Danio rerio: one gene and its partners. The protein of the gene in region 2 binds, or shares a complex with, the protein of the main gene of each other region. Links are inferred from orthologs where the notes say so. Each region holds a gene or a part of one and is shown on either strand. Other genes may lie near its edges.

Evidence for each region.
Region 1: vps51 (region 2) and vps52 share a complex: the UniProt entries of both Homo sapiens proteins name them as parts of the endosome-associated retrograde protein (EARP) complex. The link is inferred for Danio rerio from reciprocal best matches to the Homo sapiens genes VPS51 and VPS52.
Region 3: the proteins of vps51 (region 2) and stx6 are in contact, whole or in part, in a crystal structure (PDB 4J2C), measured with the Homo sapiens proteins. The link is inferred for Danio rerio from reciprocal best matches to the Homo sapiens genes VPS51 and STX6. Residues at the interface, in NP_037397.2 of Homo sapiens: Ala33, His34, Met36, Leu37, Leu39, Tyr40, Tyr41, Gly42, Leu43; in NP_005810.1 of Homo sapiens: Met3, Glu4, Asp5, Pro6, Phe7, Val9, Val10, Glu13, Trp59, Asp60, Asp63, Leu64, Glu66, Thr67, Ile70, Val71, Phe78, Arg88.

The regions. Positions count from the first base shown.
Region 1 is NC_133194.1:20,892,925-20,896,586, reverse strand, and holds part of vps52 (vacuolar protein sorting-associated protein 52 homolog), read right to left. Parts: intron 1,018-3,662; coding exon 922-1,017; intron 841-921; coding exon 733-840; intron 641-732; coding exon 575-640; intron 478-574; coding exon 366-477; intron 1-365. UniProt on the Homo sapiens protein: Acts as a component of the GARP complex that is involved in retrograde transport from early and late endosomes to the trans-Golgi network (TGN).
Region 2 is NC_133185.1:31,886,218-31,889,879, reverse strand, and holds part of vps51 (vacuolar protein sorting-associated protein 51 homolog), read right to left. Parts: intron 2,586-3,662; coding exon 2,370-2,585; intron 2,292-2,369; coding exon 2,208-2,291; intron 708-2,207; coding exon 573-707; intron 468-572; coding exon 346-467; intron 3-345; coding exon 1-2. UniProt on the Homo sapiens protein: Acts as a component of the GARP complex that is involved in retrograde transport from early and late endosomes to the trans-Golgi network (TGN).
Region 3 is NC_133197.1:16,192,606-16,195,998, reverse strand, and holds part of stx6 (syntaxin-6), read left to right. Parts: coding exon 1-47; intron 48-1,206; coding exon 1,207-1,269; intron 1,270-1,346; coding exon 1,347-1,475; intron 1,476-1,599; coding exon 1,600-1,706; intron 1,707-2,732; coding exon 2,733-2,827; intron 2,828-3,393. UniProt on the Homo sapiens protein: SNARE promoting movement of transport vesicles to target membranes. Targets endosomes to the trans-Golgi network, and may therefore function in retrograde trafficking.

The DNA of each region.
Region 1 (3,662 bases), on a different chromosome or scaffold from region 2:
TGTGTCGATAGCAATAAGCTAAGTAGCTCAAGACTGAGGTCTAGTGACATTTCTTGTCAATAATATTTGTGACTCTGACCTTTTTTACCCTTTTTTCTTACTCCTTTAAGTACAACTAACAATGTATGGCTGTAAACTTGTACGGCGTGCAGCATCCGGAAGGGCAGGCTGCAAAATGCTTGCGCAATGTTACGCATAGTGCGTAAATATTATCGAGCAATTATCAAACTGTCAATATCGTCATATCGAAAAATTTTATATTGTGATAATTATCGATATCGAATTATCGCCCAGCCCTAGATGAACAGAAGCCTTAATGGTTTGGAATGACATGAAATTGAAATCTTAATGAAAACAGCTCTGACCTTCATCATTTTTGAGTTTGTCAAGCTGCCCTTTCTCCATTAGTGCCTCACTCTCCTTCACAAACGCAATCATACCTCCAAATGGAGGAGAAAGAATCTCCTCTATAAATTCCTATAACACACCAATACACAATTGTTATGCACATTACACATTTCAGTTCCACAAGACAGGTCCAATATGAGCTGATACTCAGTACCCCATGATGTACCTGTGTTCTCGCCAGCAAAAGCTGCTGAAAGCTCTCAACCTCTTTACTGTCATCAGCTGCTCTCTCCTTCATAAACACATACATAAACATAGTATTATAACCTACAGAACTACAGAACGTTTAATAAATGGTGTGGCGTGATTTGTAAGAAACATTACCATAAGCACGCTGAGCATCATGTCATAGTTGTTTATCAGGAAAATTAGCTGGTCTCGTCTAGAGGGAAACTCAGCCGCCATTTTCAGCACAAAGTTCTCCACCTCAATCTGAAAATTAGATCCATATTAAACAGTTTTCAACATGCGCTACTTTACCTTTTAAGGGCAGAGCATTGCTTTTTTGCTCACCTGCAACTGCCCAAGAAGTGTGTTGGTCCTCTCATTAGGAAATGTTTGATTTATGCTAACAATAGCAGAGGAGAATTCAGCATACCGACGTGTGATCTAAAAAGATAAAACAAAATTACATGCAATTTATACACCATGACACATGCATTCATTTCTTTATGAACAGAACACATTGTGTAAATCACTTTGAAATCGATCCCTTCCACTGATCAAAGCTGCATTCATTTTATCAGTCATAAGAGTAGAAACAATAATATTTTCAAAATGAATTAGTTAATATAACAGTTTTAAACTATTTTTATTAATTTAATTGTTATGTTTTCTTGTTATGCAAAGCAGCCATTCCAGCCATATTCCAGTCTCTGGTGTGATGTGATTCTTACCTACATGAAATAAAATAAAAATAAATTTTTTTCTGGTAAATACTATGGCCTTTTTGAACCATGCTACAGTAAAGTGTATTATGTTATATTTAAAGGTAATTTCAACTCTATGTAAATGACTATAGTTTAACTATAGGGATAAAGGCTTTAGTATACTTTAGTTTTTACCTCAGTAAACTGTGGTATGTGTTGACTGTATGTGCATCAAGCAAGACCGGAAATAATCTATTAATAATCTAATGTGAAAACCTCTTTCTATTGGTAAATGCACCCTGCTATTGCCTGTCCTTTGAGACCATTCAGGTCAGGTGCTTAATAACATGTGAATGACAACAAGTTATATCTCCACTTCTGTAAGAGAAATAATAATCTTAACATGGCTAACCACTCCGTCAAATCTACCTGCATGTGTGCTTTTATCAAATCTACTATAAAAAAAAATATTTGATTAATTTCTGGATGACAGATATTCTATATAAGCAGTGTTGCTTCAGTGTCTCTCTGCCTATCATACTATTTAGACTGCTCCATGCTTTACGAGCATCACCAGTGACAAAGTGTTTCTCCATTCTCTATATTGTGCTCTGGATTTTTAAAATAATCAATATGAGTTCATTTTTTTCCTCTTCAGTAAGCGTCATATTACCTTGTGCAAAAGCAGCCCTTTTCTTACTTATACATTTGTAATTTCATGCAAGACCCAAACCTAGTTATTAGGGTATATTTTAACAGTTTTAGTTGTACAACATTATTCTCACAGAAAAATAACATAAGATGTTATTGTTTCTGTTATCTCATTCACATTTGCACAATTATCAAAAAAGATGTCCCAATCTGTATCATCATAACGCCTTTCAGTCTCTCTTTACAGTCCTCAGACCAAATCGCAATATCTCTATTACAGTAGGCTTCTCTTGTTTAACTTTAGTTTTGTAACAGGGCAGCAAATAATTAACATTATGGTCTCACTTAAACAGTGGATTAGTGGATTGCATTAATTATGATTTATAATTTTAGATGTTTTATTAGGATTCTTTGACAAACAGAACATTTGTAATTTCATTACAAAATTTCAATTTAATGTATATTTGCTGAAAAGTGATAAAACTGTTTTCAGCGTTAAATAATAGAAAGTTTTTCTTGAGGGGGCCAATCAGCTTATTTGAATTACTTAAAGATTATGTACCCGGCTGGAGTAATAGCTGATAAAAATTCAGATTTTTTACAGAACTTCATAATATATTTGCAAGAAAAATGTAAATATTTTGGAAGAAACATTTTTATTACTGTTAATGTATTTTTGGGGAAAAAATGCAGCCTAGCCTGGTTAGAACAAAAACATAGTTGAGAATGGATCCACCAGGCAGGAGGTGAAGGGAAAGACAACAGGAAATGTGCGGATTAAGGACATGCTAGTGATTGGTATGACGAAGGAAGATACATAAGAAGGAGCAAAAATTAGATAATGATCTGATGTGACAACACACCTAATCAGAAAAAAAATCACAACAAAAATAAAGTTACCAAATTTAAAAAAATAATTAAATAGCAAAATAAATATGCATCAGAGAACGGGGGGGGGGGATGGGTTATAATTTGAGGTTACAACATAAATAAATAAATCTAGTAAAATTTAAAAGCAGTAATAATCACTGATAATTTGTTGATTTGTTGTTGTTACTGACCCTAAGCTACAATCAAAAACTATCACACACCATAATCATGGCTTAGCAACCGTAGCTAGGCGTGGGAGGGCCGTGTGTTTAGCATAACCGGTATCCTAAAAGTTTGAATGAGGTGGTAGATTTTTTATTCCCTTTTCAAAACTTAAAACCCAAGGGGAGAAATGCCAAGCATGGATCAAGATGTGTGGGAGGACGTAAAAGCAGCACAATCCAGTCATATTTCCATTTGTTTTAAGCTATGAATTTTGGATCACAACAGAACAAAACAGAGATATGATCGCAAACTCAGCACTTGCGATACTTCAATATACTTAACTCGCAGCAGTTTTTCAGTAATTTCATGTACCTGTCAGAGCTACAATTCCCTGATGATCTTTCTTTTGGAGATTTAGTCACTGGTGATGATGTTATAGTGTCTGCTTTTATGTTTGGTGTCGGATTAATATTTGCTTGTAAGGAAATCTGCCATTAATACTTTTACTTTGCATGTCAATTTAAACTGCAAATTAAAATAGAAACTGTATAAAAAAGCACACAAACATCCTGACAGTCAGTGTTGGGGGTAACACATTATAATTAACGCATTATAATTAAGTTATGTAACAATATTATTTTTCTAAGTAACAAGTAAAGTAACACATTACTTAAAAAAATTAAGTAATATTATTTGAGT
Region 2 (3,662 bases):
CACTGGAGCAAAAAACAACAACAGCAATATTAACAATTAAATATTAATTCATCCCAAAAAGCACCTTGCTGTTCATTAAGCCTAAGCAAAGACAAAAATCCACCAACATTTTAGTCAAACTGAGGGTGAGTAAATGAACAGCAATTAGATTCAATGAGCTATTTAAAGTGAACGACAGAGTTTTAATTATGCTTGGAAAAATTTAGTTTTTTTGGAATATTTCTGAATAATTCAAAGTAATTGAATTAAATAATTACAAAGTTTTACACAGAAAGTTTGTCTTCAAATGAACATTATATAAGATTGTGATGTTAAGTCAGCAATATTTGTGAAGTGACAGTGCACCTGGGAGTGTAGCTTGGTGCGTAGCGGATCTGCTGTCTTGAGCTGCTGTACACAGAGAAGGTGCGTTTGCTGGAGTCACTGCTGTGGGCTTTCCTTACTCCCTCTTCATAAAGCAATCCCACCTATTGAACAGAAAAATAAAAAACATGGTGTATTATGGCTTATAAATGTGCATTCTCTGCACACATTTAATATTTGAATTAAGGAACAGATATTAAGTCCATCACCTGTACATCAATAGAAGTGGTATCTTCCACCACCCTCTTCATTACAGCCCGAACATTTCTAGGTTCAATAGTGTTCACCCAGTCTCTCGTTTCCACGCTCTTCCTCAGCATCTGACTGATGATTAATCCCTGAACCTGGATCAAAACCACACCAGGTCAACAAAAACATCATCAATTATGGTAAAAATGTTGTAATCCCAATAATTAATGGCCCATATGACTAAAACACAATATATGAGTGATTTTCATATATATATATATATATATATATATATATATATATATATATATATATATACAGTTGAAGCCAGAATTATTAGCCCCCCCCTGAATTATTAGCCCGTTTATTTTTTCCCCATTTTCTGTTTAACAGAGAGATTTTTTTTCTACACATTTCTAAACATAATAGTTTTAATAACTCATTTCTAATAACAGATTTATTTTATCTTAGCCATGATGACAGTAAATAATTTTTGACAAGATATTTTTCAAGACACTTCTGTACAGCTTAAAGTGACATTTAAAGGCTTCACTAGGTTAATTAGCTTAACTAGGCAGGTTAGGATAATTAGGCAAGTCATTGTATAACGATGGTTTGTTCTGTAGACTATCAAGAAAAAATATAGCTTAAAGGGGCTAATAACTTTGTCCCTTAAATGGTGTTTATAAAATTAAAAACTGCTTTTATTTTAACCGAAATAAAACAAATAAGACTTTCTCCAAAAGAAAAAGTATTATCAGACATGCTGTGAAATTTCTTTGCTCTGTTAAACGTCATTTGGAAAAAATAAAAAAAAAGAAGAAAAAAAAATATCGAAGGGGGCTAATAATTCTACACACGCATGTACGCACACGCACACACACACACACACACACACAGTTGAAGTCCAAACTATTTGCAATTATAAGACAAATACAGTAGAATAAAAAAATAAAATCTCAGCTTTTTTATGCAATTCTAAAGTATTCCGTTAAGAGTAATGCAATGGTTTTTTATGCCATGTCAGCAACCAAGGCTATTTTCATGCAAGAACATTTCAATAATAAATATGCAATTAAAATCAAAATAAGATTTTTAGTGCTGATACATGATAAAAATTCTACAATTTTTCCTGATGCCACTTCACTAAAAATGTACAAAACCCTTTAACTGCCCCAGCAAGAAAAAAGATGTTTGGATGGCATTTCTTAACTCTTAATGTTACTAGTTAACAAACTCAATGCATTTTTTCAACACATCCCATAATTTCTAAAATATCAGCCTCTACCAAATGGTTTATATGTCGGTTTATAGTAAAAGGTCCAAAATTAATATACAGTTGAAGTCAGATTTATTACAAATTTATTATTAAAAAAAAAAAAAACTTGGTGACAACTTTATTATTTTAAAGGCAAGGTTGACATTTGCATGGAATTTCTCAATCCAAACATCGAGTGTCTAAAAACTGAGATTTCAGGTTGTATTTCATACAATTTATAATTTTCAATGCATCCCACTCCTCTTGCCACTTATTTAAAATGTTTTTTAGTTTCTTTATACATAATCATTGAAGGCAGAAATCGAAACAGTTTGTTGATTACTTGCACAGCCCAAAATTATTGACTCATGACATCTGAATCTATTCTCTTATTTACCTTCACATAGTGGTTCAGTAATTTCTGAGCAGCTTCTCTGGCCTCTGCACAAAGTGCTGTAACTGGGGTGACTGGAGTGTGGTGCTGTTTAAAAAGAAAACAGCAGCATGATTATATGCATTTAGAGTTTGATTTATCCTGAATATAACAGATATGGGATACCTGTACAAGAAACTGTTCATCTGTGAGCGTGAGGATGTAGGAGATGGTGGAGGTCTCGTAGTCCAGACAGAGACGAGAGAGCAGCAGGAGGAGAGCAGGAGGTGTGGATCCTCCTCTGTCGCCTGCGCTCTCACAATACTGCCGAGAAGACTGGCAGATGAACTTAATAAAGCTCACCACCAGACCCTCACGAACACCCTGACTGCAAAACTCACCCTGAGAAAACATAGGAGACTGGTATTAGACAAAAAACATGGCTATGGTTGAACTTGTCTCATTATCCATCATTTTAAAATATAAAATTAGTTTTTTTATGCAATTGAAATGGAGAAACGCTTGCTGACATTTGTGGTTCTTGCTATACCAGAAATGGCCAATGGTCATGTAAAAAATAAATTAACAATATAGTAAATGAAGGCGAGGCAGTGGCGCGGTATTTAGTGCTGTCGCCACACAGCAAGAAGGTCGCTGGGTCGAACCTCGGCTCCGTTGGTGTTTCTGTGAGGAGTTTGCATGTTCTCCCTGCCTTCGCGTGGGTTTCCGCCGGGTGCTCCGGTTTCCCCCACCGTCCAAATACATGCTGTACAGGTGAATTGGGTAGGCTAAATTGGCCGTAGTGTATGAGTGTGTGAATGTGAGTGTGGATGTTTCCCAGAGATGGGTTGCGGCTGGAAGGGCATCCACTGCGTAAAAACTTGCTGGATAAATTGGCGGTTTATTCCGCTGTGGCGACCCCGGATTAATAAAGGGACTAAGCCGACAAGAAAATGAATGAATGAATGAATATAGTAAATGAAAGAAAAACAGAAATAAAGTCTACAAAACAGAAACGAATAAATATTCATTGCTAATTTTTAAACATAAGTCCGAAAATCTTCTTAATATATTAAAAGTAATTGTCTAAATATTACTAGCCAGCTGGGAAAGGCATAAATAAAAAAAGTGAATAAATAAAGTTTAATGCTCTCATACGAATAAACTCTAGATTATGTAAAACTAACTATGTCTGAGAATTCTCTTATAAGCAACAGATGAAGACGGCCCTAAGTATTATTACTCAAATGCAATATTAATTTAAATAAAAACAATCTGCATATGATTAAAAACTGTTAAGCTGTGTCCGAAATTGCCTACTACTCGAGTAGGGACTACATTTAAATTTGAATTTACCACACGACCATTAGAAAAGTATGTATTATATAGTATGAATGTGAGAAGTGTCAATGGAACTCGGATGTACTACATCCCCCATTTGTCATTATCACATGACCTACTCGCATCATTTGTGTCACT
Region 3 (3,393 bases), on a different chromosome or scaffold from region 2:
TGGCCAAGAGGAAAGCCTTCATCACTAGCACACGGCAGACAGTCAGGGTGAGCTGATCTGACCGACTGAAAGCACATTTACAACTAATGTTTTAGCATCCACAGTAAAGCCTCATGTTTTAAGTCAAAATAAAGAACAGGTTATATTTTTATTATGACGTCTAAGCCTATGATAAAAACTAAAATGTACTTTTCATTTAAAAATCTTGGTATGGATTTGGATTTTAAATTTGAATGGACATAAAGGTCAACGGTCAAACCCAAAATAAATGTTTCTGTGTCTATGAAAGCCTGTAGATTCATTTTAACTCTACAGACGTAGAATGTTTTGGTTGGAAAAATCTCATTTGACAATTATATATACTTATAATATACAATCATAATTTTAATGACCTCATCTGGCGACATGAACTGCAAATATATATACATTGCTATTATCAGATGCCCTCTTGATGACTGTTTTCTCAATGTTTTTTTTTTCTTTTGGCGTTTATTTTGTTGTTCGTATTCCTTTCATGTATGTGAAGAATGAATTCAATCTAAGAATAAATAATTTTTTAATTAAAAGTTATTGACTGCAGTTCACTTATTAAGAATAGCAGTTTTCAAAGCAGGATATATTCTGATAAAAATGCTGGAAATAAAGTGATCGTGAAGTTTATCATTGCTATTAGTCATGATTGTGGGTTGATTTAAAAAAATAAAATAAAATAAAAAACATTTAGAATAAAAAAAAAAACATCATCATGGTGTTTGTCCTTAATATTATAGGCCTGGACACTATGGAGTTATTTTGTTTCTTTATTATTCAATCAAAAATATTTAGTTTTAGGGAAAAATTAAATACACAGTGATTAAAAAATAAAAGTAAATAAACATTTTAAACAAGAACGTTAATAAACAATAAACAAGAAAAGATTCTAGATGTGCAATACATGACAGCAGATCAGAGAGCACAATGAATAAGTGTGCAATGGAAAGTGTGGTAACTGCATAATAAGTCAATAGTGTATGTTTTTCAATCCAAAATATTTTATCATCATTTACAAGTTTTTTAATTAAACGTTTTTAATTTATTTGCAATCTTTTACTTTTTTATTGGTGTATTACATTATTCCCTAAAACTAAATATTTTGATTGAATAATAAAGAAACAAAAATAAGTCCATAGTACACCGGCATTTATAATAGATTAATTTATTTTGCAGGAGATGAAAGACCACATGACCAGTCCGATGGCCATTACAGTGCCTGAGAAGAAAAATCGACAGGTTTGATATTAAAACCGGATTTAGCTCTGACCGTTTTTGTTGTATTTTTAAATTGACAATTTATGTTCCCTTATCAGACTTTAATGGGCGAAGGTGGATCCCGGGGCCCAATCTGGCAACCGAGTGGTGAAAAGTACACTAGACTTGACAATGAGCTGCAGACGGCAAATTCACAGTTCATTGAAGAACAACAGACGCAGCAACAGGTACTCAATAAAGCGGTTCACAACACTATAAACTGGTTATTAGTGCACAATTAGCATTTTTGGCAATATTGATGAGCATTTATCAAGAGAGTAAACTGTTTGTAATTGTGTGTTCACATGGCAGCTCATAGCAGAAAAGCAGGATGAGCATTTGGAGTTGGTGTCAGGAACTATTGGTGTATTGAAGAACATGTCTCAGAGAATCGGACAGGAGCTGGATGAGCAAGCTGTGTGAGTTATATTAATATTGATGAAGCAGGAATTTATATATTAATATATAATCTTATTTGAAATATTGTTAAAATTATATTTGTATATTATATATAAATGAAAAATGATTTCTAAAGAACAGTGTTTAATGTAACTGTGATATGTAAAGTATTACATACTCTTCACAGTATATATGGATAAATAAATAAATAAATATATATAGTATTTTTATTTATAATGTTTAGTGTGTGTGTGTGTATCTCCCTCTCTCTCTATTTATATATACTTTTATTTAGGAATTAAACATTACATTTCTATGGTTTACAAAATATGCAATATTTGAGAAAATCTAGTATATAAAAATTTTTGATAGGTCATTTTTATCACATTTTTTTATTTTTACTTGTATATTGTTTAAAATAGTAAATGTTTATTTCAATAATTCATATAAACGATTTAATATATAGAATTTCGCAGATCTTTTTAGCTCACCAAGTCTTTTTGATTTTATGTGAATATGTAAAATGTATTTATTGTTTTTATATTATATTTTATATTTTAGTAATGTTATTGTATTATATGCAAATGTTTATATGATTTATTTACAATAACCAAACAAGTGGATCTAATTGGCTAAAAATAAAAGTTAAAAAACATTTTTTATTTTATGATTTAGGTTTTTAGTTATCATTCTCCATTAATCCAAAGATTTATTTATTTTTTTTACAAAATATTTTATGCTGAAATAGCAACAAAAAATTTCTGCATATTCTGTAAAAAGCAAAAATGACTTGAATATAATCTTATATAAAATATATGCTGTGTAAAAATGACTTATACTTCATTTATATAGCAGAGCTATAGTAATGATATTTTAGACTTTACATGAATACAGTAAACTATTCTTGTTGTTAAAAACCTGAACACAACCTTTTAAAATGAACAAAACTGAGCTGTTCTGGCTGAACCCTGACAGATTTGTCTAGTCATTGCGGTTGAGTTAACAGACCTTTTCTTGAATGGACTGTGTGTCTGGACTGTTTTCAGAATGCTGGATGACTTTTCACATGAGATGGACAGCACTCAATCCAGACTGGACAACGTCATGAAGAAACTGGCTAAAGTTTCTCACATGACCAGCGGTGAGTAATACAGCACATACGCTTCATTTCACTCTTGCATGGTTAATACTGCACTTCAAATCATTCTCAAAATACATTCAGAAGTCATTGAGCTGAAACATCAGATTTTCATTTTTGACATCCTGTCTGACACACTATTTCACTTTTTTCTAAAATGTGACCCACAGTACTAGTCACTTATACATCATCTGAAAGCAGAGTAAATGCGTTTTGAATTGCTATATGCAAGGCTTGAAATGATCTTTTTTGATCACCGGCCACTGTGGCTAGTAGTTTTCCAACATTATTAGCCACTCTGCATATTCACTAGCCAAAATTTTGATGTTGCGAAAATAAATTTTATATGCATAAAATACTATTTAAATTTTAGACTATGTCCCCATGCCTCCTCATTCATTTCAGTTTTTGTGTGTCGTGTATGAGCTTGCTCAATGAGCATGATCAAAAGGGTCATGGTTTCTTAGTGTTATATTGCAATTAGTTTTTATTTCAGATGACTTTTCAGAGCTCAGAAATAAGGATTTACCAAATTTAACAATTATTATAATTATTTGGTAGCCACAAAT